Linked DNA regions of Struthio camelus. The protein of the gene in region 4 purifies or fractionates together with the protein of the main gene of each other region. This does not show direct contact. Links are inferred from orthologs where the notes say so. Each region holds a gene or a part of one and is shown on either strand. Other genes may lie near its edges. The genes, in order: CECR2, HMGXB4, CHRAC1 and SMARCA5.

Region 1 (7,744 bases), on a different chromosome or scaffold from region 4:
TTTTCAAGTATTACCAGCAGATCTGCTCAGTCAGGGCAGGACAGGTCCAGATGGCCTATCACTATAGCACCTTCTGACTAAATACGGGCAGAGCTACCAGAAGAAAACAAATTGGTGAGGGGAATAAAAAACAAAACAAGAAATAATAGTTCTATTTTTTTTAAAAAAAAGAAAAAGCGTATTAAAAGATGAGATTTTGTCCAGTTTGGGAACTGCAGTGACCACAGCAGTGAAACTCCAATCCCGCAGTGCAGTAAGGTCTGAGCAACTGAAAAAGCAAGGGGTATTTGTTACATGCACAACTATAGGGTTAGCTTAAGACTTTCACCATCGTAACAATGTTGTAAGAGTTAAGCAAACTCTTCACTGGAGATACACTTATATTAGCATAAAAAGGCACCAACCAGGTTCTTACTTGAGAACCAACCTGGGCCCTCCCCATCAGGGGAATATCCTCCAGGAGCATCCGACTGCATCCCAAGCAAGGCCGGCCTGGAGGGACATGGGGTGCGCAGGTGGACAAACATTTGCTACAAAGCACTTTGAACATCAGAGCATTTCAGCTGAAACACTCTGAAGTGACCCGCGTGAGCTTTCCATTTCTATTTGAATACATCGGAAAACAGGTTCCGATGGACTGGGGCAGTCACCCCCTCAATTACCGCATCCCAGATGAGGGACAGTAACTTTTGACCGAGGGGACTGTAACTTCTCAAACCACTTGCCCTCAGCCACAAGTGTACCTCCTGCGATAACCAAAGCCAGAGTAAGAAAATTTCATCTGTAGATGATCGCATAGTTTCATTTTTGGTGGCTAGCTATTCCCCCCCCCCCCCCCAAATATTGCCTTGGGGGCTGGCGTTCCTTAAACGCCTAGAAAGACGGCCATCTCTGTTCCGTGCAGAAGCCCCTGAAACTCAAAGCCTCTCTCGGATGCACCAGACTATCCTGTGAGATGGCCAGAAGGGACACAGGCTTTCCTAAGTGAGAAACCAAGGGAGAAGCCTTCTTTATGCAGCTGACTAACATACAAATCAAGAATCACATAAAGCAACACCCTTAAAAAAAAAAAGTATTACTTACTAAGTCCCTTTATGGTTTTGTTCCATAAACAGTGTACGCTCTTTGTGCAACACACCATTCCCAGATATCCCTGAAACCATTGATGAGAGGGGAACAACTACACCAGGGAAGAGGTAACAAGACGGTGAACTTCAAGGAAGAGCAAATTTTAAAGCAGCCTGCACTAGACTGCTGATATCACACAGGGAAAGGGAAGGAGATGCACTCTGCACGCCCGAAGACGCAAAGCTATCACAGCTGCATCTGTCCCCTTGCAGCACGCAGATTTTAACTGTGATGTCCACTGGCACTCGTACAAGGCGTCACCCTTTAAAACCAGTCTCCGCAAAACGCAGCAGGCCATCCCCACGCGCAGACGTTGCTGGCGACGTTTTCGGTGGGCTAGTCGTGCTTCATATCGCTCTCAGCCCCAGCCCGTGCGCACGCATCTCCTCTCCCCCTGCGACCCCCAAAAGCAGTTAATTTGTTCCCAGTGATGTTAACTCCCCCACCCTAAGCGTGCTCTAGGAACCAAAGGGGAGCCCACATTTACTTCATTTGTGAAGCAAGCCAGATGCTAATTGCCTCCAAAGGTGAAAGGCTAGCGCCTTGGCCCTTTTATCATTGTAAATTCAGGTTCCTCCAAGACTTTGCGCTGGCGGCCGGAGAGCCTCCCCCTTTAATGGTTTTGCCTCAATAGGAGGGGGAGGGGAGTTCCCTTTCGCAAGAAGTTGCATCATTGAGAGACCTTACCCCCTTTCAAGATTTCGCACTGCATAAGGGATTCCCCCGCTTCAGAAATTCGCATCCTGCTCAAGGCGTTGTGCTCTTTAGGGCTTCGCACATCCTATTGAACTTTCCAGCATCGATGCAATTCGCGTTCCCGGGGCAATTACTGTCTTTAAAAAACGCACGCCACCATGTTATTCACCCGGTTTATTGCCAATGTGCTGGCAAGAATAGCTTTTCACCGCAAGCACAAAAGATTTCCTACCCCGACACACTTTGTTTGCAACATTTGTAGCCAGAGCGCAAAATATTTACAGAACATTAGCCACACGCAAGGGAAGGGAGGGGGGAAAAAAAAAAAAAAAGGCAGCACGGGAAAGTTGCACAAGGAAATTTTGGAAAAAGCACAAAACCAGCGAGTCGTCTCTCCGCGGGCGGACAGATAAGGTGTTCGAGGCACCGCAGCTGGGCTGAAATTTCCCGTCTGCCCTGCACAGAGCCCCGTCCCCCCTCCCCTCCGGTCCCCCCCTTCCCTGCGCGGCGCACAATGAGCGCAGCCCTCCCCGGCGGATTAACCCGCGCCCGCGGGACGCGCCGGCCGGGCTGCAGGAAGGCGGCACCTCCGGCCGCCGCGGCCAGGTGGGAACCGGGCCGCCACGACCGGCCGCGGCGGTGCCCGCTGGGGGGGCACCGGAGCAGGGCAGGGGGGGCGCCGCCCCGCCTCTCGTCGCCACCATTTTAGGCGAGGTTGGAGGGGGCGCGGGGACCCGCGGACCTCCCCCCCCCCCCGCTTTGTGTCTGCGTGTGTGCACGGACAATGCGGCCCCGCCGCCGCGCCCGCTGCCCCGGTCGTGCGCCCCGTTTCGGGGGGGGGGGGGGGGGGAGGGTCCTGCCTGCCGCCGCTGCTCCGGGACGGCGGCACCGAAAGTTTTGCGAGCGCGCCCGGCGGAGGCGCCGGAGTCGCCGCCGGCCGAGGGGACACCGGGGAGGGGAAGGAGGCGGAGGAGGGGGGGGGGAGAGGCGGAGGTGGGAGGGGGGGGTCTCACCTCGATCTCGAAGTCGGGCAGGCGGAAGGCGGTGCGGAAGAGCGAGCAGAAGTGCGCGATGGCCGGGACTTCCCACCAGGAGCGCAGCTCGTCCAGCGCCGCCGCCGCCGCCGCCTCGGAGCCGGCCGCGCCGCCGCCGCCGCCGCCGCCGCAGCCGCCGTCCTCCTCCGGGCACATCTCCCGCGGCCGCCGGCTCTGCCCGCCCGCTCGCTGCCTCACTCCGCGGGCGGCTGCGCGCCGCCGCCGCCGCGCTCCGCCCGCCCCCCGGCGCCACGCCGCCCCGCGGCCGCCCCCCGGCGGCCCCGCGCTGCCCCCTCGCTGCCGCCCGCCCGCCCGCCCGCGCGCGGGGCCGCTCCGCGCTGGCGCGGGGGGCGCTAGGGCCGGCGGGGGCGCTGCTGCTGCTGCCGCTGCTGCTGCTGCTGCTGCCCCTGCTGCGGGCGGGCGGCGGCCGCCGCCGCGCCGGCCCGCCCGCCTCCGCCTCCCCGCGCCGCGGCCCTCGCCATGCACCGCGGCCGCCGCGCCGCCGGCAGCAGCAGATGGGGCGCCGGGGGGGGGGGGGGAGGGGGCGTGGCCTTTGGGTTGGTGGGGGGGGTAGCCTCAGGCGGGCGGGCCAATAGGGAGGTGGGAAGGACGCCGGTGGGGCGGGGCCGCGAGGGGAAGGGGCGGGGCCGAGGTGGGAAGGGGGGAGCCGCGCGGCCGTGCACGAGGAGGGGGTGGAGCTGGCGCTCATCACAACAACAGGCCCCCCCGGCGCCCGCCCGGGCCACGCCTACCGGGGGGGCGGGGCGTGGGGCGAGGCGAGGGGCGGGGGCGGCCGTGCGCTCCGCGGCCGGCGTGAGGCGAGGGAGCGGGGCGCCTCTCGGGGCTGAGCCCCTCGGAGACACCTCGCAGCCCTTCCTCAGGCCCGGCTGGCTTCCTTCCCCCGCCGCAGGGGAGCCCCGTCCGTTACTGCCGCCGACACGGCTGCCACTGGGGCCGCTCCCCGCCCCGCCTCAGCCCTCCCCGACCTCCCGCCTCAACGGTCGCCTCAACGGCCGCCTCAACCGCCACCTCAACCGCCGCCGCCCGCCCGGCCTCCCTGCGGGCCGTCGAGCAGCCCAGGGCAAGGCCTCGGCTCCCCAGGCGGCCCGGGGGCACCTGCCCTGCAGCGGCCCAGCTGAGCAGCGGCCAGTGTCCCCCAGCCTGCCATGTCCTGGCCGGGCCTCCAGATTTTCTGTTCTCGCTTTATATTTGTAAGTGAGGGAGGCCAAGTGGCACTTCTCGTTCTCCCTGCGTTGCTGCGGCAGAAGGAGTGGGGAGCCCCTCTCTCTTGAGGTGCTTTAACGTCTCACCCGGGTGCCCAGTACCTCCATTTCTCCTGGCCCTGCAGTGAAGAGAGTAACAGTGCCCCGTTTGGAAATCTGTTAAGAGAAAAGCATTCAGCAAGAATTAGGTATTACCTTCTTGCAGGACGGACTATAACAAGGTATAGAGATGTAATGAAATACTACGCTGGTAACAGCTTTGTATGCTGACCCTGTGTTACGTTACAGCTGCTCAGTTTGCCTCTACAGTCCAGCTTCAAACCAGTTGCAAAGTATTACTGTGCACAGCTGTGCCAGCTTAGGATCTTACCTCCAGTGAAACGCTTGCAAAGACATGTTTAACTACAGTTTAGGACTCCTTCCTCTCCTTCCTTCCTCTCCTTTCTACCTTCATCTGGCTGGGGACGTTTTTATACCAGCACTACTTTTCCTAGCCCTTCCTTTCCTTTACTCTGTTAACTTTCTCATCTTCAGCCTCTCCTCTTTCTGTCTGGCAGAGGCTGACAGGCTGTTGCTCGCAGACGTGCTGGGGTCCGTGCAGGAAGGCACACCTGAGATACCTACAGCCCAGGCTGAAGCCTGAGGCAGTGTAGCATTGATAATGCCTTCAAATCTTGCCTGTTTGATATCCCCAAATGTGTTCTCAATGAATGCTGGAAACGTGGCAGAGGTGTGCTCTGCCCCAACACTTGGAGTCCCCCAGCAGGCTCGGCTGAACGCCTTAGGGCATGGTTTCCGTTACCCCCAATCCGGCTTAGGCTGCCCCCAAAAGGAGCATCATTTTTACGCCTTCTGACAATATCCCTGCCCTGTCCCTTGTGTCAGAGTTAGCAATCGTCCGGCTGCTGGGTGATGTGGCTCACTGATCTGACAGAAGGCTGCCTTTTTTTTTTTTTTTTAATGATGGTGACAAAGAATTAGTTTTCTCTCGGATCAGCAGAAGTGACTTGATTAATCCCCCCGCCATGTGGTCACCAGCACTGATGCAAAGAAGCAGTGAAACGCCTGAGAAGGGACGGAAGGGAGAGTACAACCTCCCCTTTCAGGAGTAGCCTGAAGACAGACTGGATCAGGCGAAGGGGAAATCACATTGCAAATATCCTGGTCTGTCTCTGGTTTGAAGGCATAAGCGAGGGAAAGGCTGGTAGCATCAGCTGGCAATGGCATTGTTGCTGCTGAGTTAATACCAGCTGACATAGAGCAGCCCATGGCTCTCAGAAATGTGATTTCAAACAGTCTCAAGCATCTATTTTTGATATTTTTTAGTTTCCTCTCCCTGTTTCTTTTCTAAATGGAAGTTGACAATAGAGAATAAGAAGAAGGTATGAGAGCTGTGCTGTACCAGCTGTACACGTGTGACCACGTGTACAGCTGACCACGCTGTACCAGCCTTACCATGAAAACTTTGGCCAAGGGTAGGAACACTTCATTTAGAGAAGAAACAAAGATGCAGCAGTTGGGCTGTCAGCAAGAATAAACAATCTCTGAGTTCATTGCCCTTTTTCATATTGCAGGATCAAGGGATACCCAATGAAATTGGAAGGAATCAAGTTTAAAATGGTGCAAGGAAATACTTGTACTGTGTACAATTAACACACAGTATTTGTTACCATAAGGTTTCATTGAGGCTGGGAGATTAGCAGGATTCAGAAAAGGATTAGACGTTTATATGGAGACTAAGAACATTCATGGTCACATTAGACAGGATATAAATAAATTTTAGGAGGGATATAAACTGTCAGGCTTCAAGGCACAGCATAACCACTAACTGATGGTGAGGGATTAGGGAGAAACTTCCCTCGTGGCCAGGTTAGTCTATAACTGTCCACTACAGGGTTTCTCGCACCTTTCTTCGAAGTATCAGACAGCAGCAACTGTCAAAGTGAGCATACTGGACTGGAAGGGCTACTGGTCTGATCTGGTATGGCAATTGCTCTGCTCTTCTGTGGGTAGGGGCTGCAAAGGTTGCTTTAGCAATGGAGGGGCGATGAGGATAAATAGTGATATGGGCATCAGTGGTGCATGGAGCAGCATCAGGCACTCCTCAGGGTCCAACCCCCTTCTCATTTGCTGTAAATTCCACACCCACAACAGAGAACGTCTCCTGAAACACACGCCGTCAAGCCAGTTTATAATTTACCTTTCTACGTACAGTATTTGTGTCTGTTTTCCCCAAAACTACTTTAAAAAAAACCTTTTGCCTTTGACGACTTATTATTTACGTGAAACCAATATGTTGTACTGAAATCATGACTCTATTTCCAGATGCAGTGACTCTGAGCCTTGGTACTGAGCAAAGAAGTGTCTGATCTCTTGTGTATTGTATCTGCCTGCACTGGATTAAACCAGCTTCAGCTAAGATATGGTAATCGCTAAAGAGGAGTTTGCAGCCCAACATGAAATACTTTAACAACACACAGTTCAGACCAGTATAAAATACCAATAGCTCTGCGTGAGAAATCTTTGGGTCACAAACCCTCAGACACAGATTTCTGTGGGACAGTTAACTGCAGTATTACTTGCCTTTCAAATAATGCTGGTTCTTCCACTGAGCAATCTTTTTGTCCTGTTGCTATGTAAGGGGAGTTTATGTTGCATTTATGTCTTGCTCTGTCTTGACATTCCTCCCTGAATTCCTGTAGTGTCCAGCTATGGCTTATCTTATTGCTGCATCTTAGCTTGTTCTTGACACTAGGTCAAATAGCTTTGTAGTATCCCCACTTTCTATCCCATTAAGAATTTTGTGAATCTTAACAAAGTCTCCTAATCTCTCTTTTTTGTCAGAAAAGCTACAATCCTAATTTCCCCTAAGATTTTTTGAATTAATTTGGCTCCCTCTATCGTCCCCGTTCTTTCTGTCCAATTGTGTCTTCTCTTATATTGTTATCTTTTTATGCAAGGAAGCTGAGAGCCGCCCATGATTATTTAAGGTAGATTCACTTTGCCAGATTCTTACACTGTTCTTAAATCACTTCCTTAGATTTATTATTCAAACACAGAAATCTCTGCTCTCCCTCTGCTGCTGAACAGAGAGCAAAGGCCTGATGAATGCAATCCAGCATTTCCTCTGTGATAAATATCTCCATTCTCAAATCCTGTGTGGTTTTTCCCCTCCATGCCACCTTTGGTTTTGAGTTTCCTGCTCATAACCAAACAAAACCAAAGCCTGTTGTGACCAGGCTTCTTTCCTGGTGTGCTGTAGTCCTCTTGATCAATACTTATCTAGGCTATTGGTTAGACTTTACCTACCTACTGATTTTTCTGTTCAATATCCACCCCGGCTGTTCCCCTCCCTCCATATACGTTCCTCCCTATCCCCATGTTCTCCTTCTTCCTTTCCCCTCAAACGGGCCATCAATTGAATGCGTATACCGTGTAGAGCCGCACTGTGAAAGAACTCTGGGGCTGATGGAGCAAATCAAAGCTTCACGTTTTTGCTGCTCAGCATTGACACTGGGTTTCTGTGCTGCTGTTCCTTTAAGAAAAATGCCAAATTCCAAGTGCCAAAAAACAAACAAAAAAGTTCATAGGTGACATAGGGACTGAAAGTCCCCTTTCCTGTAGGACAAAATCTTTCATCTGGAAGTAAAAGGAAGGGAGGAA
Region 2 (7,562 bases), on a different chromosome or scaffold from region 4:
GGCTGCAGTGGCAGAGTACCTCGGCAAGGTTTTCACATCAGGAAACATCAGTTGTTTCTCTCAAGTTCTAATCCCAATACTTTACTTCTGGAAGTCAAGGGCTTGGGATCTCGCAAAAACCTGACTAGATTAAATTTAAGGTAATACCCTTCAATGTTCCACAAGAGATTAGCTTTCTCTCCCACTCTCTGACTCCGTGGCCTGGAAAGGGCGGCTAAGGGTACCCTTTTCTGGCAACTCTCTCTGAGATTACGAAGCAGTCATACCTTCTTTCTTCCTGGAGTCATCATAAGCCATGGCGGTCCTGCAGGAGCCTGAGAATGTGTTGCCACGTCTGGGCTCCTTCCCCCGTTCCCGTCTACAGGAAAAGGTCTGAGAAACAGAGAACGAAAATAACCCTCCCAGAAAGAAGAATCATAATGGAATATGGGAAACTTCCTATGAACCAAATGAAGATTCTCTGGAAGACAGTGGGAAAGGAAGGGAATCTACCTCCTGGTCTCTGCGTGCTCATATTTCAGGCTGGATAGAAATTTTTCTTAAATTAACTAAACACAATGGAAGCTGTTTTTCTCTTATTTTAAAAGAGGTAACAACACAACCTCCTCCTTGTAAAATATTCACATCATTGAATGAACTTATTTACAAAAGTATAAAGAGTGTGAGAAAAAAGGCTGTTTGACTTTTAAATGACAAAAAATTGAAACAGAACTTGTGTCAAGATCTTTTTTGTCAGGAGCCAGTGTAGGAAACAGTGTGATGTTTAAAGAGAAATTCCAAACCCTTGAATCTCAGAAGTAGTGAAGGAAAGGAAGAACTCAGGCAGGAATCATTGCATCATAAAAGAATTATTTCTGATCTTTTGAAATAAATATTTGAATAAATATTTGAAGATTTTGGAGTGAAGATGTACATCTTTCTGGTGCATTTCTGATGCATTTCCAGACACTACCACTGCAGCCATTCTGAATGTCAGCTTGGGAGAGGGAGCAGAGGAAAGTATTCCTTTTTTCTAGGACTTTTGCTGCACCCTTAGCCCCTGCCAGCTCATTAAGTTCCAGGTCTCTTCTAATTGAGGTATTCTACTCAGCAGTTGCTAGTATCTAGAAGGATACTGCCATTATAGAATAGTTGCACTCTAGTTCTCTCAGAGTTCTTCAGTCAGTGACCAGCTTAACTTTCAAAGAATAGCCTTCTGATAACTCAGTTTGCACTTAAAAGTGTGTGTTTGTGTGTGTGTGTGTGCGTGTGTGTGTGCGCATGTGCACACATACATCTGCAAGTGTTAAATCACAGAGACCACACAGCTAGTTTGGACTAGCTGATACAGTTATCTCACCATATTAGTTACATCTGAATACCTTGAGTACAGGGAACTTATCTTACCTACGCTTTGGGTATCCCTGCACATACACAAGTTTTATAAATAACTGGCTGATGCTAAAAAACATACAATGTATTTAACATGTTGTGGTTTTTTACATGAAAGAACAGAGCCCCAAATAATTCAAGCTTACAGACACATAGGAGAAATTAATAAGGATACAAGTTAATTCTTCTGTTGTCTAATATTCTGGGAAATCACCAACCACAGTATTTTTATATCAGCATTCTGACCACCATAAATTGTTGCTTGATAAATTGTTGCTAGTGAGCATAGCAATTTGTAAGCAGAATTTATGTATACGCACAACAGCACTGTGCTCCACAGTAAAAAATAATAAATTAAAAAAAAAATCTTGCCACTTGATGGGCTTACAGTCTTGGACCAGATCTTGCAACTTACACACGACAGTAAAGCACTGTGCTCAAAAGGACTAAGGCTTAATCTAGATGCTGGTTAGCAAAAATAGAAGATGGTCATTCATGAGGGGATGACACTAAGAAACTAAGATTCGTTTAGAGCTACAGGCATACCTTTTACTGACTTTTAAAAACTTCACTAAGTTGTCTGGCAGGTATAAAGGTTGCTACATGACAACCCTGCCCAAAGGGGCTTACAACCTAGATCTCTAACCCTGCAAATATAAAGCACATTTTTAACTTGTCTTCTACACAATCTGATTAGGTTCCAGTGCTTTAGATTCTTAGGTTACAGAAGACATCACACAGGCTCAGCGAGGCAGGTCTCTCCAAGTCTCCAGGTCCTTAACACAAGCGCTTGCTGGATCAGGAACACACATCGCTCTTGTGCGAACCCAATAGCACTCTCATGTTTCATCCCTCCAAGCGGGGCTGCACAACTCGCTGGTGACAGATGACGGTACGTGGAAGCAGAGAGGCCAGCAGCAGGGCTCCCAACTTGCCGCAGACGTTCCGTGCTCTCTCAGCGCCAGCCGTGCTAGCGCGGAAACCACGCTAGGACTTTCGGGGCGCGTGTAAGGGGGCAGACGTTGGCGCCCGTCTTTCCACGAGCGCGGCGCCCGCAGGCAGGTAGCGCCCCGGCGCAGAGCGGCGACGGGCGGCACAGCTGTCCCTCCAAGCAGGCCGCCTGGGCGGCCGCAGCCACAGCGCGGCCGGTGGGCCCGGCCCGCCGACCCCTGCCTGCGGGGCGGCCACAGACCCGGGCGCGCGCGCCCGCCCCTCGCCGCCAGCCCCCCGCGCGGAGCCCGGCTGCGCATGCGCACCAACGCCCTCCCCTCCCCCCCCGCCCCAATTCCCGCAACGGCCGCGGCTCGCGCCTTTCCCGCCGCCTCCGTTTGAACCGGCCTCGGCCGCTGCTCCCCCCCGCCCCCGCTCGCCCGCCCCGCCCGCGTGCCCTCTCACCCGAGCGGGCTCCGGCCTCACTCCAGCTCGCAGCTCTGCTCCTGGAGCAGGCCAAGCCTGTGCCCCCGCGGCGGTGGCGCCGAGCGGAGACGGGAGCTGCCAGCCCGCTGGCGCCAAGCGGCGGGCGCAGCTCCGGAGCGCAAAGGCGGCGCCGCCGCCTCACCGCTCGCCGCCGCTTCCCGCCTCGCCGCCGTAACCGTCGGCCGCCATCTTGGAGTGGGAGAAAAGACACACCCCGCCCGGCGCCGGCGGCAAGGCGCAGCCAGCCGAGCGCCGAGCAAGCAGGGGAAGGGGGAGAGGGAGAGGGAGGCGGGGTAAGGGCGCGCCGAGCGTACCGATGGCGCAGGCGCCGGAGGGCGGGCGCATTCCCGCGCCGGGCGGCGCACGCTGCGCGTCCGGTCTCTGCCTGCGCCGACGGCGTTGGCTCCTGCCGCGGGCAGCGCTCGGTAGGCGAGCGGTCTCGGGGGTCTGCGGAGTGCTGCCCCCCGCGCCTTCTGGAGGGCTCGTCCGTTACTGCAAGGGGATTCCAGACCGAGGTTAAAAAAAAAAGCTCAAGAACGGACTGGCTGGAAAAAAAAAAACAAAAAAAACAAGTCTCCCCTCCCCCCCCCCCATGTGAGCTTTTCTTCACTCTGTTCCTTAGCTCAGGAGGTCCCTATTCAACAAACCTCACTTAACTCTTACCTTAAATCCCATTATCTCTACTGATGGAGAAGTCCTCTTTTTATACAGATGCCGGCGGGAGCTCACATGCCTCTTTGTAAGCTGCTGCTCTCAGTCGCGTGCTGTCCACAGCCTACAGTTCCCAGCCATGGCCAAGGTTAAAGAGACTTGACCCATCACAGATACACTGGTTTCCCTGCACTGACAGATCTGCCTCCTGGTCTTGGTCGTGTTTTTTTTTTGTCCTAACAAGTGTGTAACGATGATGATGATTTGAGTTAACTGTGGAACAGTTACAGGAACCAGAATGGCCTCGCTGTGTTGCACTGTGTGCATCTATAGTTTGATTCCAAGTGAGGGGTTACAGCTTCTAATAAATTTCCCCAGCCGCTGTGCACAGATCAATGTCTGCAGGTGCAGCAGCTGTAACACCTCAGAGTAAAACCCACCAACCATGAGGACGTGTGCGAGGCCTGTGCAGGTGTTCTCATGCATGTATATACTCATTCCCGCTGCTGTTTATGCTCTCTATAAAATCTGTCCTTACTTTCCAACCCATAACACAGGAAGGAGTTACGGTCTTCACTAATGGGACAAGCATCTCTCCACAAATATATATCCAGAACCTTTCCAGAATTGAGCACATTGCCCAAGACCTGCTATTTGTCACAGATTACTGATGATGTTTTTAGAAATTCCAGTGATAGGTCCCTACTCTGTTCTACAATGCACTGAGTACAAGAAAAACATGGCTTCTGTCAACAGAATTTTACAGTCTTGAGCTTCCTTGCTGGTGCTACAGACTGTATGGAAACATCGAATAATTTCCTTGAGCAAGTGAGCATGACAGCCTACAGGTCAGGTAGAAACAGTTGGGAGGAAATAAAGTTTTAGCATGGCTGGGGGAGGCTAGGTGCAGCCTGAAGGAACAGAGATACGATCGATATGAAAATCAAAAGCCTACATTAGCCTCATGTCTGAAGATTGCAAATGTTTGATAATGGTAGCTAGTAAATATGTGGGGATGGTATGCTTAATATTCTGCATCCTAGAAAGAATTTCAGCTCCCCTGCAGTTTAATGGTTTTAGCACTGGATGTTTCAGAGGTATTAGATTGTGTCAGTGATTGCATGTGGAGGGGAGAGAGTGAATTTGCAGGTGAATTTGTGAAAATGAGCATATAGCAGGATACTTGTACATAAAGCCACTGAAGCACGAAGCATTCAGATCTCTCCTGCTGAGATGCATCCATGTTCCTCTCCTCCCACAGAATACTAATAATACTAATAACACTAATCATACTACTAATAATATAATGTAATCCCTCATTCTGCACTTTTCACCAGTGCAGAAGGGCTCAGAAAAACTCATTTCAGTCATTCCTATTCCCTAGAGCTAATAAAGAGATCCAGTACAAAGCACTGGCATTTACTGGCTACTTTCAAACAACTTAGCCTTTTCCTTTTCTAGAAAATCCAGGCATCCCTTTAGAATATACACCTGGACTGTAGAGGTCAGGTGGAGAAAATGTCAGGACACATAGCAAATTTAAGAGAGTCACAACCTCTCCAAATGTCTAACACCTGACAGAACTGTTTCTGTGTACTGTTGAACTGGAAAGGTCATCCTGAGGGAACAGGAAAAGCAAGCAGTCCCCATAGTGTCAAAGACCTGAAGTGCAGCATCAGTTAATCTCACGCTATTGTGAGAATATTGCCTATTCCTTTTGTTCAGAACATCTTGCATTCTTGGCCCTACATGCCAGAGAGAGAGGCTGCTAAAAGAATATGCAGTATGTTCCTTCAGTTCCTTTGTCTCATTGGCAAAGACAAACCCATTATATGAAAGGCTGTTGCCCGTGCAGAACATTTTGTGAGGTGGACATACTTATCTTTGATGCAAGATTAATTGCGTGCTAAGGGCTACTGCCCATTAAGGTGACCAATATGGTCTTGCTATTCCTATATACATCCCTATCTGTCCTTGTCTGCATATTTTCTCCTATCTACACTACTTAAGATGCAAATTTCTAGGTTCAGTAACTCTCTTTTTTTTTTCACACTTGTTTAGTACTTAGCCTGGTGAGTTCTCAAGTGAAATGAGTATAAAAATAATTGATAATAACCATGAGCACAAGCCCACAGCCAAGTTAGGTACAAAATTAAATACAGAACTCAGAGCTCTGAGAACAATTACCAGTTCTCCCTGCCACAGTTTGCAACTCGGAAATCTCTCTTCATTTCTGACTCACTTTTCCATACTTTTTTCCTACATTCACAGAGAATTTGGCATTAACTGGAATGGGACCTACATTAAATCCTCTGATCCCTGCCTCTCCACCAAAAGCCTTCTTTGTTTTGCACAGACAGTGCTACTCTTCTCTGTGTACACTACAACACTTGTAAGTTATCAGCTACCAAGCTGCCCTTAAAAGACAGCATAGCATATTACATTTTGGTAGGTTCTAAAAGAAAAAAACACATTTTTAAAAGGCTTATGGGAATGAATATGGAGGAAGTGACTTTAACGTTACAGCGGACTTCAGGTAGAGTAGATATTGGGTACCAATTCACAGAATCACAGGATGACCGAGGTTAGAAGGGACCTCTGGAGATCATCTAGTCCAACCCCCCTGCTCAACCTAGAGCACGTTGCCCAGCATTGTGTCCAGATGGCTTTTGAATATCTCCAGGGAAGGAGACTCCACAACCTCTCTGGGCAAAACGTTCCAGTGCTCAGTCACCCAGTCACCCAGTCACCCAATCACCCAGTCAGTTACCTCGGCCCTATAATTTCACTAGTCTTATTTATAAACAAGGCTACTGAGTCCTGTTTGAATATAAGGACTCACTTCCGCAGAGAAGCAAAACTTCAAAAGATTTGTTATCTGTTTCCGTATTGGGGATTTTCTTAAGTTGCTTCCCATTTGTCTTCAGTTCCTGCAGGAAGCATTCATTTTCTTGCCTTTTCATTTGGGAATAGAGTCACTAATGAAGCCGCAAGCGTAGGTGCATTCATTTGTAACATGAGTGTAACAGTTTGAACGTTCCCCAGAGCCACAGCTTCTGTCACAGTGGACACACGCATTCTCTCCCTGTTCCTAGTGCTGCACCTTCTGTATCCGCATGCGGAGAGAGGTAAAGCTGGGTGGGAGGACAGTGTCCTTGTCCATCTGGTGGGAAAACAATACAGCAGGATTAGTGGAGTCCAGAGGGGAAGAGGAAAGCTCCTGCGTTTGGTTAGCCAAAGGAAAGGGAGGGATACCTGGGCGGTATGTATGAAGGAAAGATTAAAGGCAGAGAATCAGTGTCAGATTTACCTCTTTTCACTGAGGTTGATTTCCTCCTAAATAGCTTCATACCTCAGCACATGCCAGGAAGGTAGGAGTGGTTTAATCTGAGTTTCATGGTGCCATACAAAGCCTATGTTAGTGCTTTTTGCTGGTCAGCTCTCGGTGCCTGCTCCCTGGGGTTCTGACTGGCCTCTGCTGACTAGAACTCCTTGCAGCCCCAGTGCCATGAAACTTGAGGCATTCAGCCTTATCTGGATTCTTGTTTTTCTTTTTGCCTGGATATGGTGATTTACTTCTTTCCTCCTCTCACACCTTAATTCTCTACATCACCGCCTTCCTCTGTACAGGCCGTACTGACCTGCTCCTCTCTTTTGAGAAAGAGTTACATGAAAAAGCCCATAGGTCTGGGCTTCTTTCCTACAATTTTCCCCAACTCCTGCTTGTGACAGAACCACTGCTTCAGCATTTGTCCTGCACTGAGTACCAGATAATATTATAATCTGGAGTTTTACAAGAAATGGAGCAACCACACAAAAAGCTAGAGTTAAACCGCTAACCTGGAAGCTAAAATGTCAGCCTGGCAGCATAGGTGGGTGTATACTTATTGCAAAGTTGATGTGGCCTTGCCAGGCCTGCCTATGAGTGTCCACATTGTGGAGCTGTGGCTCTCTGGTGGGCTCTCCACGCTTTGGTTAGAGGGATTGCTCTAGGATCTATGATTGCCTGTGGGTAAACTTCTCTCTTCCTCTCAAGCCCCTGAGCGGGAGAGTTCTTCACCAGCCAATGCATTTCTTGAAACACTTCTCAGACTTCATGCTCTGTGTTGCCAAGCTAGGGGTCT
Region 3 (8,034 bases), on a different chromosome or scaffold from region 4:
CTCAGACGATTGCTCCAAGCATCGCATAGCTCTTTGCCCCCCCCCCCCCCTTTCCTTTCTGGAAAGATGAACAGCAAGCATACTAGGCTCATACGTTAACCAGGGACGTGACTGAAGCTGGAAAGAACTGTAGAAAGCCTCTGCATTAACTGTCACTTTTCATATAAAACATTTATTTTCCTTAAAAAGTTGCATACAAAGTTCTACACAGGACTGTCACCATTTCTGTAGTTTAAAAAAAAAAAAAGAAAAAATCCAGCTCTACCGCTCAAATGGTAAAACAGTTGCTAATTCTCTTGCCACTCAACAATCCACATTCAATAAACTTAAAACAATGTCCATTTTGGTAGGAAACCACAGACAAATTGCAGAAGTAGAGACTTCACTAGAAAAAAAGATTCTAGATATACATATTTACATCATTATCTAACACATCTACTTTTTACTGCTGGCCGCAGAGCCACATCAGCTATCGGAATGGATCTGAACCTCTAGCTCATTTCTGTGCAGACGTGGCTATTTAAGCTGCATTACAGAAGCGGTTTTTGGGGGGTTTTGTTTTGTTTTAGATGGGCTTGGTCCACTGCTAATGCCCTGGCACGTTTCCAGAGAACTGGGGGAAGGTTTGATCAGTTATTGTCTACTTAGGGAGGCAGAGGACATTGCGTAAGAAGTCTCTCCTCCCCTCATTTTCCTCTCTGAGGAAAGAGAAAGTGGTGGAGGACTCCTGGTTGGAGGGAGAAAGAGCCTTTGGACTGAAAGCTGCATTGCCCATAAGACGTTTTAAATTTGGATAACGATTGTCTGAAGAAGTCATTTTAAATCGTCTGAGCAAGTTCTGCTGTCAGATTTACAACAACTCTTCTTTCCCCATCATGCGTCTGAGAGAAGAATTCCATTCTTCAGCAGGGATAAAGTTCAATTTCTAAACTTCTTAAAGCAAAAGCAGATGGCTCAGTGTATAAATATATCCAGCATATGGATTTTCAGTCACAAAAATAGCATCCTTTATACAACAGAAAATTGATTAACTATGAAGTAATTCTCCATTAGCCTTAAGATCCAACATCTTCAACACTTTCTTCTTCATCATCATCTTCCTCCTCATCCTCTTCGTCATTTTCCCTCACTTCTCCATCTCGCTTCTCTTTTTCAAGCATTTTTAGGTATTTGCTAGCGAGGATCTTCTTTGGTAAGATATCTGAAAGGTAGAATTGCTTCTTCTATAGAAAGTTTGAATACTTAAATTATCTCATAAATACTGTTGCATCCATATCATTACTGAAACAAAGTCCAACAGAGGCAATTTTGAAAAGTTATTATACTTTTAGCGACTAACCAGATTATTCACTCTGGCTTATGAACAAGCTGTGAGAAAAGGAGGGAATTGCCCACTTAAGGTACAAGTAATCAAAGATGAGGAATATATGTTATAAAACTGATTACAGACCACTCTCTTTACTACCTAATCACTTCATTTTACTTTTACATCAAATAAAAATGAGTGCTCATTTAACTGGATAGCCATCCCATTTATGTTCTGTGGAAATTGTTTTTCTGTACTCAAGGAAGGTATTGTTCAGGGCAATAATGATGGACCTGTGACAAAACAGGACTGCATGCTCTGAAAGCATGCCCATAAGGTGCTCGGAGAAAAACTGGGCTAGGTACATCTCATCCTCAACCCATATCCTTTTCCCATATCTGTTCTGAGCTAAGTGTTAAAACAAAAATCTCAGTACCAGCAAAAAATGTATATGTGCGTGCACACATATACTTACACACTAAAAAGGGGGAGTGGAACCAGAGAATGACTCTCTTTGAGAATTAAGATTTGTAGATTTACATCTGTAGTTTCTGGGATAACAGAAGTTGACACAGAAAGACCTAAAGTGATCTCATTTTATAGGCTTGAAAGCTTTCAGATTGCGTTGTTTGCATCTAAGAAACGGATAGAGCAATACACAGAGGACTAACAGGCCTTGTGTAGTTTCCCAGCACTGGAAAAATACCCATTCTTTTGCAAAGAAGTGTTTTCAGTGATGTAGTTCATGAGGTACAGTCGAATGCTGTACAGGACACTAACAACCAGTAGGAGAATCGTGTCCTCACAGAACGCTTCTGTGACAGCACCGTTTCATTTTCCAAACTACATCCTGGATTCACTATTACTCTACAGATACCTGCAAGGAACTGAAAGGTTTCACACTCTTCCGCGGTGTGAGACAGGTCACTGTAAGTTAGAGCGCTCTTCTCCTTGCCTCTGCCATGCTTGTAGGAGTAGGTAGCCAAATACTGTACAAAAAGCTCCTAAAAATCAAAACGAAGTCAACAGTCAAGCAGTGAATTAATACATAGAGTTGGTAGCAGTTGTCGTTAATCCCCACTTAACGCCCTTTGCTCAACCGTACGTATTGTGGGACGCCCTGCGCAGAGTCCCACGGATTTCAGAAAGGCTCAAGGTCAGGATGTAGCTGAGGGAACTTCACTCGCGCTGCTCGCCAGGGCCTCCCGCAGCCCAGCAAGCCGCAGGCGGGAGGGGAAAGCGGCAGGAGGCGGCCTCCACACGGGCTCGTTTCCTGAGCGCGGTGGAAACGCTGGCTCCCGCGGGCCCTGGCGGCTCGGCCGCAGCGGACGGCGCCCAAACCCCCCACACGACAAGCAGCCAGGAGGGCGAGGCTTCACCTCCCGCTTGCGCGGGTAGGAAAGGGCCGGAGGGAGGCAGCGAGAGCTGCTGCGGCGGCGGCGGCGGCGCCGTTGGGCCCGGCCCCCCCCCCTCACAACCGGGCCCGGCCCGGGAGGGGAGGTGAAAGGGGCGACCGGTACCGTGGCCTTGGCGGTGAGGAAAAGAGCGTCTTGGTTGATGCTGGAAACCTCCGGCGAGCTCTTCATGATCACGCGGATGCGCGAAAGGGGCAGCGACACCAGCCGGTTCTCGCCGCCGCTCAACCGCGCCGCCATCTTCCCCTCCTCCTCCTCCTCCCCCACCCCCAACCCCGCCTGGCCTCCGACCGGCGCCGGCCCTCCAAACCCGGCCGCGGGCGGGCGGGGATTTGGGGGGGGGGGGGAATAGGCGGCCTCTGCAGCACAGCCTGCTGGGAACTGTAGTCTTCGGCCACTAGAGGGAACGCCGCGCCCCGCGGCTAAGCAGCGAGGCTTGGACTACAAATCCCATGAGGCACCGCTCCGCCCGCCGAGGAGAGGAGGGGGAAGGACTACAAGTCCCGCCGTGCACCGCGCCTCCCGCGGGAGGAGCGTTCTTCCCGTGATGCACCGCGGGCCCTGAGGCGATGGCGGCGGCGGCGGCGGCGGCGCCGTTGGTTCCTCAGAGCTCGGCCCGGCCCCGCCGTCGGGGTTCCCCTTCCCCGGGCCCGGGAGGGGGCTTCTCTCGGCGCCGGCTGGTGCCCTGCTCCCTCCCGCGGCCCCTCCGCGCGGGTCGTAGCCCCAGGCGGGCGCTTGAGCTTCGGGAGCAGCCCCGCCTCTGTCTACCCTAATTACAGGCCACTGGCTACCAAATTATTCACGGATCTGTAATCGCAGGTGGCTAAATACCGCCTCAGCTGCTGTAGGGACAGTCAGAGGGAGGGCTGTGACGCTCGTGGGAGGTATTTAGATGCGGAGGGCCCGTGGAAGGTATTAAGTGATAATAGGGCAGTGTCTTTGTTATTAACACGTTCGGCCTGTGCAGGAGCGTACCGCGGTGCGTCTCTGCTCGGGTGACTCGTATCCCGCTTCCCAGCGGCTGGCGTCCGCTCAGGCCCACCGAAGGCAGGGAGGGTTTTGCTGCTGATAAGGCTGGACCGGAAAGTTCGCGCGTGCCTGTGAGGATGAGACCTGCCGTACTCTGCCTCTCCGCGAGCAACTCGGCGCTCGCGGAAAGGATAACGCGCTGTTTGCGTTTCCTTAGTGTCTTTATTCAAAAGTTTTCAGTGCGCTTTACGAGCAGTGTGCCTGATTGCGTGTGTTGGTAAGAAGTCTGCTAAGGTCACTTATTTGATCGCCGCTTAATAGACGCGTAGAGGCTTTTCCACGGCGTGCAGAAATAGTACGTGTCGAGTTTGGGGCAGAAAGGGAAGTGTCAGTAAAGAGAATTGTATTAAATTGAAAATGCAGGGAATTTGTTAGCAGGATATAATCAGCTGATGCAGGTTTTGCCCAGTACATAAGGACAAGGTTTTCATACAGGTGATGTTGGGTTATTAATGAAAAATAACATCTTCAGCACATGTCGATACCTGAGTGCAAGGGTGATGTGACAGTTCCAGCACTACAATATTTGGAGACGTCTTTTCCTATTAGTCTTTAAAGACAATCTAAATCTCTTAGACTGCAAAGATCCCTTGAGGTTACAACTTTGTTGATGCTATTCTGTGGCAGTTACAGCTAAAGCGAAGCATAACATAGTATGATGCTATTTTGCAGGCTCAGTTTCTTTGATCCTTATCTACTTGTGACATCTTGTGGAAACAGTTGACATTGCCATGACAGTGAATTCTGCTGGTATCTTTCATGATTTCAGTATATGAAGTTACCCATGAAACTACCAAAATTTCTGATGGTGTTGAGCCATCTGGATATGGGTTTAGGAGCCATGTAGATCCTATAGGAGCTAGGCACCTGTCAGTGGTCCTTTTACTCAGTGGTGGACAATGTAGCGTAAAGTGGTCTGGGCAAATCGGGACGTGCTCGTTTTTGTCTGGCTCCTGTCCCACTCTCAGGCTTTTCCCTTCACCCACCCACTGCTCCCAGAGTCAGGGCCCATGGGACAGCTCTGTCATTCAGCACGGTGCTGGGAAGAGGAGGGCGTTCGACTGACAGAGGACGGGAGTGGGAGCACAGCAAACTTCTGGCATCTCTCCCTTCCCACTGCTAATGCAGATTTGGTTCGCAGGAGGCAGAAGCACAATGCATGACACAAAGTGGATGTGTACACGCTCTGAGGATACCATTATACTGCAACGTTACTGGCACTTAATAATTATTTTTTTAGTACGTTTTGAAATGGCAGCATTACTGTGGTACCAGTAACTGACTGAACCTGTTCCTAATTAAAAAAAAAAAAAAAAAAACCACCCACAGATCTGTAGAGTTCAAACTAGAGTTAGTTCTTTTGAATCAGGACTGAACTGGCACTGTTACTAGGAATTATTCTTTAAACCTGACTTGGAACCCAGCTGAAATAAGTATCTTTTGTGATGAATTCGAACAAGTTTCACTGAAAACTAATATGCCCCAGTGGAAATCTCTTCAGCATAGAGACTATTTGTACCAATTACAAACTGCAGAGCACTGTCACATCAGTCTCTCCTTTTCTACTCCTGCTTGGGTCACTAGTCCTCCTTTTTGCTGTGCTTTGCGGCCTTGAATAAGAACCTGCTCAGTGGAGGTACTTTGGCACCTCAGGTGAGGTATAACTACGCTGTGTCTGGAAACACAATGGAGTGACCAGAGCTACAATTCTTGTCCCATAGTAAGGAATTGTTCCTTGTCACTGCCACCTGCCTACCTGAGCTTCCCTGCAGCGATCTCACTTGTTTCACTCTAAATATGTATCTCTGGGTTGTGTATGGACGTATTTCCCAGGAAAAGAGAAGAGATTAGACACGTTGTGCTCATCCCTCTCTCTCATTTCCTTCCTGCGCAGTGCAATGCCACAGTTTCTGTCGAGCTTCTCAACCTCGGTTTCCTTTTTAGGGAACTGGAGAGATGCTGCAGCACTGTGTTAACAGTATAGGTATTGTGCAAGCTTTGGCAGAAAAGGAGGCTGGGGTAATTTTCCTTGCTGCGGTCTCACCCTGTAGCATGGCTATTTTAATTCATTATCTGTGACGCAGTGCATATAAATCCCAGGTTACTGGTATGAACTATTAGTGTTCTGAACCAGAACAAAACTGTAACAAATTCATGGGCTGAATCTGAAACAGAACCTAACTGAAGAAAATTACTGATTTGACTCCCTAATTTACCAATTTGACTTCTCCTGTCCTATACTGAGTGGAAGTAGAGCTATTGTGGTAGTAAAGCTTCCTCTCAGTGAATAGTTGGCCTGCTCAAACAGGGACAGAACTCATTCATATGTACTAGTGAGCTGCCTGAAACTAGAAAAGAGTGCTGTATCTTTGAAAAATGCTTTCCTGTATCATTCCTTTATTGTATGGTATTAAAAGAAAAATCATGATAAACATGATGTATCACAATTCCCCATGGAAGGGAATCTGGAGAAGGTGTCTGCAGAATTTCCAAACGTCACTGAGATAAGTTAGAGTATTATCGGATAAAGAGCAAATATATTATAGAAAGAGCATGAAGCAATTCTAGCTGCACTGAAGCTCTTCCAGTTATTCCAGAGAGACTGTGATGAAGACTGCACATTCACATTGCTTGGCAAAGCCAAAGAAGTTCACGAATACATTTTCTTTACACAAAAGTGGAGCATAGCTAAAAAAATTGACCATTATGTTGCAAAGTGGCATTTTAAAACCAGCCCATGCACATTTAAGAGCATTGAGAGTAATTAGAGAGTAAATTATTTATGATCTGTAATCAGAAAAAAGACTATTGACATTGACCATTATGTTGTGAAGAACAGTAGGAAAGTGCTGGACCAGTGAAAAAATGTGTGTGAGTCAGCGAACAAGGGAGGAAGCAGAAGTCAATCTGGCAAAGCATAAACGCAGTATCTGGATAAGCAATTGGCACATGCTACAGTAAATGTAAAGATATATTAAAATAAAAAGCTGTTTATCATGAAATGCATACCATCACAAAAGACATTAACTATGCTGCAGTAGTGTTCTTGGCATCTGAAGCACAGCGATACGGAAGTAGCATTCACAAATAATGAGAACAGTTTATAACGAAGTTTATGATGAAGCAGAAGCGTTGTCTTGCACGAGGAAAAAAAAAAGTGATTCTGAAGGCATTTGATGACGTGTTATTGAGTGGGGATGTATAAGGCTGTATCATACTTGGAGATAAATCTGAGCCGTTGGTAAAGTAGATGTTAATGCACAAATGCAAATAGAAAATGATTGAATTGACAGTGGTCACTAATATGCCTAACCATTTTGAAGTTTCAGGTAAGACTCTCAGTGTAGGAGTTCCTCCGTTAGAAAAGCTGAAAGGATGAAGATTTTCAGCTTCAGAAATGTTTGAATGGGAGCCAGGTTTTCAGGCAAAAAATGCCAAGTCTGATCTTCCATTTCCGATTTTGATAGATGCCCATTTAGGTAACTTCTCTTCAGACTCGCTCCACCACCTGGGATTATGCAGGACATTATATACCCACAACCTGGAGGGTATCAGGAGACTGAGTAGCTTAACAGCAGTGTCAAAGCTCTAGATCACTGTGTTTACACAGCCTCAATCTAAATAATTTCCTAGAGATGCTAAAATATTAGATGCTCCAATTTACATTAATCGTAACTCTGCCTTTCTGCAAGCCATTTATCACCATCACCTTTTTGTCTTGCAAGAAAAAAGTGTGAAACAACAACAGACTGCTGAGATGAACTACGTCAAAAGCGTGTCTGAACCCCTCTCCAACCAAGGGTACAGAGTAGATTCATGAGTAACGATCAGCATTGGCTCTGTTCAGCTGAGCCCAAACCTTTAAGGTGCTTTGGTATCGCTGATACCACAACAAAGTACAAAGTGAAGTACCTGCATCGTTATTGTAGAAATAAATGTAGCAATCATGTTCCTGTGAGAAATGCTCCCAGTCACGTTCCTGGCAAAAGTATGTGAACAAAAAATGATTACTTTGTTTATTTAAAACTGTCACCCTCTACCCTCTCCATCCTAAATTTGGCTAAGCTTGACTATGGCTATCTTCCCTCCCGAAAGGGGTGTGCAGCTTCCTACCTTTGTATTCTTTCTGAAACAGAATGGCTCCATTTGTAGTTTCATCTGTATTATCCCTGAATTACTGTTAAATCAATTCACACCAGTTCACACCAAGCAATTGCTTGTCCATAATCTTCAAATAAGTGTTAATGCTATTGAAGTTACCGTTTCAATCTACAGTCCTTATCA
Region 4 (6,948 bases):
GATTCTGTACATTAAGAAAGTAAGGTAGTAGCCAGTTAGGACAGACCCTTTTCTAGATGATCTTTCGATTTCCGACCAAGAGAGTGAATATTCAGCTCTTCATAATCCTCCTTACCCCCAGGAAGGACTTACTCTACAGACAACTCCAAAAGCGACAGCACAATTCCTATTATGTTTTTTTCCCCGAGGATGTCTGAATACTTCCCATTATCCCATTCTTCCTAAATCTAGAGCGCTGCAAAACTCCTAGGTCCACACTTACTAGAACCAACAAAACACATCACCAGTTATATCAACGTATCACTGCAACGGAAGTAGAGAAGCAACAGAAGAACAGAGAACAAAACACTAAAAAGGAAAAGAGATTTTCTATTTTAACTGTTTTGGTTTCAAATTACTTAAATGTTTTTTGAAAGACTAGACAAAGACCTATAAATCCAATTAACAGATTTCAAAAGAGCTGAACTCTATGTTTTAAGCAACTGCGTTAAGTGCTGGATAGATGTACGCATTCCCAAACGTTACATACCATTTTCTCTTCATATGTAGGATCTGCTTCTGGGATTTCTTTTTGTTTTCCTGGTGATGCATCATCGAAAGATTCCTGAGGGGAAAAAGAATTAGAAACAACTTATTTTCTAACAATGCTTACAAGATACTCACATAAAGGCGAATAAGCTCATTACAAATTGCTACCTATACACATCGGAGAGCACATCCACCTTCTGTTTCTTTGGTATAATCACGTTTCTATTATATGCTGTAAAATTAACTAGGCCATGCATCAGTGATCCCTACCGCAGAAGGGGGGACAGAGCTAGCTCTCTATAATCCAACTCAGCCCCATCATTGTAGCATCACATGAATGGAAACAAGAGAGCCAGCTGTGGTCCAGGAGCTCAGCAGGCCACTTCCAGGGTGCTGAGACAAAGCCCTCCTGAAGCTGCCTCTAGAAAGTACTGTGAAAGAACTAGCTCTGCTCCTGAAGCAACAGCAGTTTCAAGTTTCTTTCCAGATTACCCCAATCCTACATCACTCTGTACCCGGTGAACAACTCTACACAAAGAGTTTGAATTACAGTTTTGTCCTGGAAGCAGGGCAGCATGTTAAAGAAGCTGTACTTTCTTCCCTCTCTTGTTTACTAAATCAAGTAACTGTTGTTACCACCAACAGTATTACTGTTACCACCAACAGTATTACTGATAGCAGAAAAACAAGTTTTAGGGTTTGTTTTTTGGCAGTCCTTCCTCATCCCCTTTCCTGCCCACTCTGTAGCACAGCACCTTCAACTACCCATTCGGGTCAGGATTTTTTTTTGTCCTTCTCTCCTCTTTTTTTTTTTTTTTTTTTAAAGTTAACTCTTTCTCCATCATCTCCCACGTTTAATTTCACCTTCTCCTGTTCTTAGCAGCAAAAACAATGGGACAACCTCACCACTCAACCACGGCAAGACAGTGCTTTACAAAATACTTCTTGAAAGGGTGAAAAGAGGAAACGAATGAGATGCCCACCAAATTATTATTAGACATCTGTTTATTTGAGCAAACTGACAATTCAGCTAAATGCAACCTTTGCTAGCTGATCAGAACAAGCAAACAACTTGAAACAAAGGGAAGCAAAACATGGGCTGCTCATGGAGGGGTGTCACCTCCGGAAACTCTAGCAGGTAAGGCATGTGAAAACACAAGAACCTCCACACAAACGTCTCGTGTGCCAGTCAAAAGATAAAGAACTCAACGTAAAAAATTATGGCTAAAGATCTTCCAGAAATTTTCTCACTCATCTCCCGACGCGTTTATCTAATACTCGTCTTACACTGAGCACAAGAAGGACCGAACTGTTTGAACTCCTCTACAAAATTCATGTTTCTCCTGAAACACCAAACACTTGAAATACTGTAAAAACACATGAATAGCAGTAACAAGCCATCTGAACTCTTCATGTGCTATAAAGACAACAAAAACTTCCAATTTAGCTGAACAGTGAGAAAAACAACCTCTTAGCTGATTAGGGCTACCAAGAAGCCATTTAAACTGAAACTTCAGTTTATGCACGGCAACCCCTTCCTCAGGTAAAAGGGGGATTAACTCTGCAAATACAGGAAGAACCCTCACACGAAAGCATCAAAAGCGTGCATTTCACAGCTTCCACGCACGAAGCCTAGCCTGAAATTGCCTTATTTTTACAGGTTCAAGCAGGACTTTTTACCCATAGTGCTTTAGTTCCTTGCTCATCTGAACCAAAAAAAAAAAAAAAAAGCATTAGCAAACTGCTTTAAATGAGGTAGGTTGGACTGTACAGCATGACTCAGAGTACAAAACACCCAGCACTAAGAGCTGGACCAACCAGTTTCCTCACATCGTTAAAGGAACAATGCTGCGATAAAATTAGCATCTCCAGGCGATCACACTCAAAACCCCTTGAAATTTCTGGAATAACCACCTGCCGCCAAAAAAAAAAAAAGCAGAGAAACAAATGAGTAAAGCTATTTACTTATTCCAAGCAAACCCCCGCCCCGCGCACGCAAAGTCCGGAGCTACGGCCGAGCGCGGAAAACACCGGTGCTTTTTCAGGGCAGTAACGGGCTCGCTCCTCCCGGCGCGGCAGCGCAGGGCCGAGGAGGCAGAGCAGCACAAGGGCTGCTCGCCGGGGGGCCGCAGGCCGCCCGGGGAGGTCGCCCCGCCGCCCACCGCGCTTCCCGAAGCGAGTAACGGCCGCGCCGCCGCCCCATTGTCCGCCGCCGCCGCCGCCGGCCTCGTGGCGGGCACCTGCCGCCCCCCCCACCCCTCCCCGCGTCGCCGGGGTCCCCCCGCCGGCCGAAAGCGCCTGACCTCCATCTCGGCGTCGGCCCCGGCCGCCGGAGCTGCCGCCGCGGCCTCGCTGCTGTTGGCGCCCGCCGGGGGCGGCGGCAGCGGCGGCGGCGGGGCGGGTGGCTCGCCCGGTGGCGGCGGCGGCCCCTGCTGCTGCTGCTGCTGCTGCCCGGCGGACATGATCCCGCCCGCAGACAAAGCTCCGCCGGGAGCTGCGCACGAGGGAGGCGGGCGGCGGCGCGGCCGCCTGAGGCCGGCGCGGGGCGCGCGGGGGGGGGGGGGCGGCGGGGGCGCGCGCGGGGCCCGGTGCGCGGCGGCGGCCGAGGCCCGTCAGCGCTGCCGCCGGCTCGCTCGGCGGGCGCCCACCAACCAGGAACCGAGCCGGCTCCCCGCTCTCGCGAGAGCCGCGCCGCCAGCGTGGGGCGCGCGGCGGAGGAGGAGCGACGCGCGCGTGCGCGCTCCGCGAGCGCCGGCTTCCCTCTCCCCCCCGCCACCACCACCCCGGGCGCGCTGCTGATTGGGTGATTAGATGGCGGGTGGGTGGGGCGGGCGCCCTGTGGCGTCACTGCCGCCTTGTTCTCCTCCGTGGGCGGAAGGGGGGGGGGTGAGGAAGGTCCCCGCGCGGCCTGACGTCATGAGCCGGTAACGGGCGGGCGGGCGGTTGGTTGTTCGCCCCCGGCCCGGCACGGGGTAGCGCTGCCGGAGCGGTGTCCGCCGCCCTGGTACCCCGGTACCGGAGGGCGGGAAGGCAGCTCTAAACTTTCTCATGACTAGTCCACGATACATTTCCCACCGGAAACGAAACCTACAGCGTCCCCAAACCGTTCAACCTCCCACCGCGCCCCCAGCGTTGCCGCAGGGGACAAGGCGGGAGCCAGGGCCGCGCTCGGAAAAGGGAGTAAAAGGGAGCTGAGGAGAGAAGAGAGAGCGAGCTGCGTGTGCTCCTGGGCTCTCCCCAGCGCCCGGGCTGAGGAGCACCACAGCCGCCCTGCTGCGCTGCTGCTGCTGCTGCTGCTTTTACCCGTGGTGGCTTGTAATTAAAAGAAATCAATAAAAATCGTGATGTTACTTCCAAAGCGCTTGGAAATTGTATTAGAGATCATACATCCTCCTGCTGCGTTGCTGGAGTTACAGCCTAGCTTCTCCTCTCTACGGCTTGGGGCACGTTGCAAGAAGGCCGTTGGCTGTTGCTTGAATTAACGTTGGCAAACACCACCTACCCTCGGCGAGGTCGTGAAGGCTCCTTAAAATATAACAGTATCACCATGACATGTTCCAAAAGAAAATGCAAGCAAGACGCCAGTGCTCCGAAAGAGCAGGTCTCACATCAAACGGTGCTCTTTTCAGGTCCGTCACACTGACCCCCTCCTGCGGGAGATGTTCTGTTTCAAGTAAAAAGACATGAATATTCACAGAAGCGGGTGCTAGAGCAAACACCACTGCACTAAAGTCACCTTCCCTCTTTTTCTGGCTCCTTGAACCAGACAAAGCTTGTAGCATCTTTCCTGAGACCCAACGTACTGTCTGCTCCCGTCTTGGAGCCACCCCAAGCTACAGCACCCTGCTTCAGACCGGGACTCCCTAGGGGCATCTACGCTCGCATTCAGTTCAGAAGAGGAGCGCCCCTTTGAAGCAAATCCCATCGTGCCCACCTCTTACCGTGCCATGAACCACTGACCCGAGTTCACATCTCGGAAGCAGCCTGGAGTGCACAAAATGGGAATATTTGGGGATGAAGCAGAACAGGAAGATGAGTTTCCACAGCACCCCTATTGCATTCCCACTGCTAACAGAGGCTGAGGCCAAAGGACCAGACTAGAGCTGGTCTAAAGCAAAAGTTCCCCAAACCGCATACAGTGGGAACACTGGGTGCCCCACATCAACGATTTGCTCTACAAATCTGCTCCTGTCAATCAGTTGCATTTGCAGATATGTCTGCATTAACAACCTAAAAGGAGGTGCTCTCTGCTATGATTATTGTAACATTTCACTGGATTTTATTACCAACATCCTTTGAAATTTTTGGAATTAAAATAGTTTGCTCTCGCATTTCTGAAACATTGTGTCATTTCATTTCTGCCAAAACTACTCAGAATAATGAATTTCAGTTTTCCTAGAACAGAAATTTTCAGCTAATAAAAATGTTACTGACATGTTTCCCCACTGCTTGTTGTCATCCCTCATGACAGGTGAAAAACCCAGTTCCTTTGCCTAAGGCTCTTCTCTGCTTTCAGAGACACAGCGTTTCTTCTTGCATCTCCACCCATACCTTAAGTTTTAAATATATGCAGTACCACATTATAGTAAGTATTCATTTAGTCCCCTGTAGTATGTCAGCATAAAGTTATCCTAGGCTTATGTCCAGTTTTAATCTGCCCAGCCTCAGCTTCTGCCCTCTCGCCTCCTCTGCAGTTGCTTCTGATGATGCAGTACGATCTGCATGGTGTGGCCAGTAGGTAAGGGTGGGAAGCAAGCTATACTCCACCTTCCCCGTTTAGCACTTATTCCTCTCCCCCGCAAAGCACGCAAACAAAACTACAGGTGGAGAATCACTGATGGACTTTACATTCGAAAGAAAAGTGGCATAAAAGGCTGAGGAAGGGGTCAGGCATTCAAGGGGAGTTGTTCCACCACCTTCAACACCTTCTTTTTATAATCAGGCTAAAACTTCCAGGTAAGATCATACTGTTCAGGTGGAGAACATGAGAGAGAAAGCTTAGCAAGACGAAAAGAGAAAATACCACCTCCATCCAGAGGTCATCAACCCTTGGTCAGGGAGGAGCGCTGAGATACTCATGTGCCCAGTATCAGTATCATGAAAGATGAAAATGGTGTTTGTCTCCAGCCAAAAATTGCTTCTCTTCCCTTCCTGGTTACTGTTTTAGCTTTTTCATTTCCCCGACTTCTGAGAAGCTCTGCCTTTGCTATCATCAAGAGAGAATAATTTTTGTTCAAATTTTAAAGAAGTTAACTTGAAAGAGAGTACCAATCCCAAATATTTCAGTCACAAAAGGTAAAAAAAATTGTCACAAAAATATTCCGAGCCAAAACCTGAGTTCCATAATAGAAACACGAAACCTTAATGATTGTTGTCTCTACATCAGAGCTTGGGGGGAAGGAGGGGGAAATCAGTCTTGCAGCTGCATACAACCTGCAACACTGTAGTAGTATTTTTGGATAACCTTAATGAGTTATCCCCGAATGAGATACCAAGTACTTTTTACAGACCCAAAGGCTTCTAAATAGACCATTCACTTCTCAACAAAATTCCCAACTCTAGCTCTATTCCATCCATAATTTCATTATTAAATGTTACTTACTTGAAGTTACAGTGGACCCTATACCACTGCAAGAGTGCAGTCTCACAAGGAGTGAACTCTTCAATCAGAGATTTTAATCGGAAGCTGTTTATCTCCAAGTGAACAGAACCATGCTGTAAAACAGCAGAAAGCTATCAAAATCTCTGCCACACTCAAAGGAAAAGGCTCAACTAGAGGTGAAAACGAAGAAAACCATTAGACTTACAAGTATGGAGGGTAGGCATAATTAAAAAAAAAAAAAAACTCTTGTCAAAAGTAGAAAGGAAGACTAAAAGTTCCAAAGTTTTAAAAGTAGGATGGAAAAACTGATCAAGAAGAAAAGAAGAGGAAGACTTCCAAATTAACAGGAAGATGATACTCAGGAATGCATAAAACCCTAAGAGTCTGAACACGCAGCCTGACTACAAAGACCTTAATTTAAAAGCAGCTAGTAGCGCAAAGCAGCTCCTGACAGAGGTTACTAATCTGCTAAACACCAAGGTACGGACAAACGCACAGTAACACATACAAATCCTCCCCCAGCCAGTACGGAAATCTGAATTGTAAAGACAACTAATTATTAACATGCTTATGAAGTTAGTAAAGAACAGTTTAATTACAGATTTTTGTCAAATCTCTAAGGTGACACGCCTTTTGTTGCTTGCTTGTGTAACCATAACTTTTTCTACTAATATACTTTAGATGACTTCCGGTTAAATAACAAATTGAATTAAAACACCGCAAATAAGAGCTACTCTAAAAGACACTATTAGCTGTACAGCAATTACATTAATAGGCACTGCTGCACATCTATCACCACTGCAAATCTGCCAGGAGTT

Evidence for each region.
Region 1: the proteins of SMARCA5 (region 4) and CECR2 purify together in Homo sapiens (affinity purification with mass spectrometry; 3 studies listed by BioGRID and IntAct, with this or other methods). This does not show direct contact. The link is inferred for Struthio camelus from reciprocal best matches to the Homo sapiens genes SMARCA5 and CECR2.
Region 2: the proteins of SMARCA5 (region 4) and HMGXB4 purify together in Homo sapiens (affinity purification with mass spectrometry; 3 studies listed by BioGRID and IntAct, with this or other methods). This does not show direct contact. The link is inferred for Struthio camelus from reciprocal best matches to the Homo sapiens genes SMARCA5 and HMGXB4.
Region 3: the proteins of SMARCA5 (region 4) and CHRAC1 fractionate together in Homo sapiens (co-fractionation; 5 studies listed by BioGRID and IntAct, with this or other methods). This does not show direct contact. The link is inferred for Struthio camelus from reciprocal best matches to the Homo sapiens genes SMARCA5 and CHRAC1.

What each region holds. Positions count from the first base shown.
Region 1 is NC_090942.1:70,502,825-70,510,568, reverse strand, and holds the start of CECR2 (chromatin remodeling regulator CECR2), read right to left. Parts: upstream 3,015-7,744; coding exon 2,838-3,014; intron 1-2,837. UniProt on the Homo sapiens protein: Regulatory subunit of the ATP-dependent CERF-1 and CERF-5 ISWI chromatin remodeling complexes, which form ordered nucleosome arrays on chromatin and facilitate access to DNA during DNA-templated processes such as DNA replication, transcription, and repair.
Region 2 is NC_090942.1:59,909,598-59,917,159, forward strand, and holds the start of HMGXB4 (HMG domain-containing protein 4), read right to left. Parts: upstream 3,014-7,562; 5' UTR 2,767-3,013; intron 2,365-2,766; exon of another isoform or gene 373-2,364; 5' UTR 298-372; coding exon 267-297; intron 1-266. UniProt on the Homo sapiens protein: Negatively regulates Wnt/beta-catenin signaling during development.
Region 3 is NC_090943.1:168,239,747-168,247,780, reverse strand, and holds CHRAC1 (chromatin accessibility complex protein 1), read right to left. Parts: upstream 3,043-8,034; 5' UTR 2,962-3,042; coding exon 2,827-2,961; intron 2,311-2,826; coding exon 2,184-2,310; intron 1,202-2,183; coding exon 1,056-1,201; 3' UTR 146-1,055; downstream 1-145. UniProt on the Homo sapiens protein: Forms a complex with DNA polymerase epsilon subunit POLE3 and binds naked DNA, which is then incorporated into chromatin, aided by the nucleosome remodeling activity of ISWI/SNF2H and ACF1.
Region 4 is NC_090945.1:34,085,311-34,092,258, reverse strand, and holds the start of SMARCA5 (SWI/SNF-related matrix-associated actin-dependent regulator of chromatin subfamily A member 5), read right to left. Parts: upstream 3,014-6,948; 5' UTR 2,991-3,013; coding exon 2,832-2,990; intron 605-2,831; coding exon 530-604; intron 1-529. UniProt on the Homo sapiens protein: ATPase that possesses intrinsic ATP-dependent nucleosome-remodeling activity.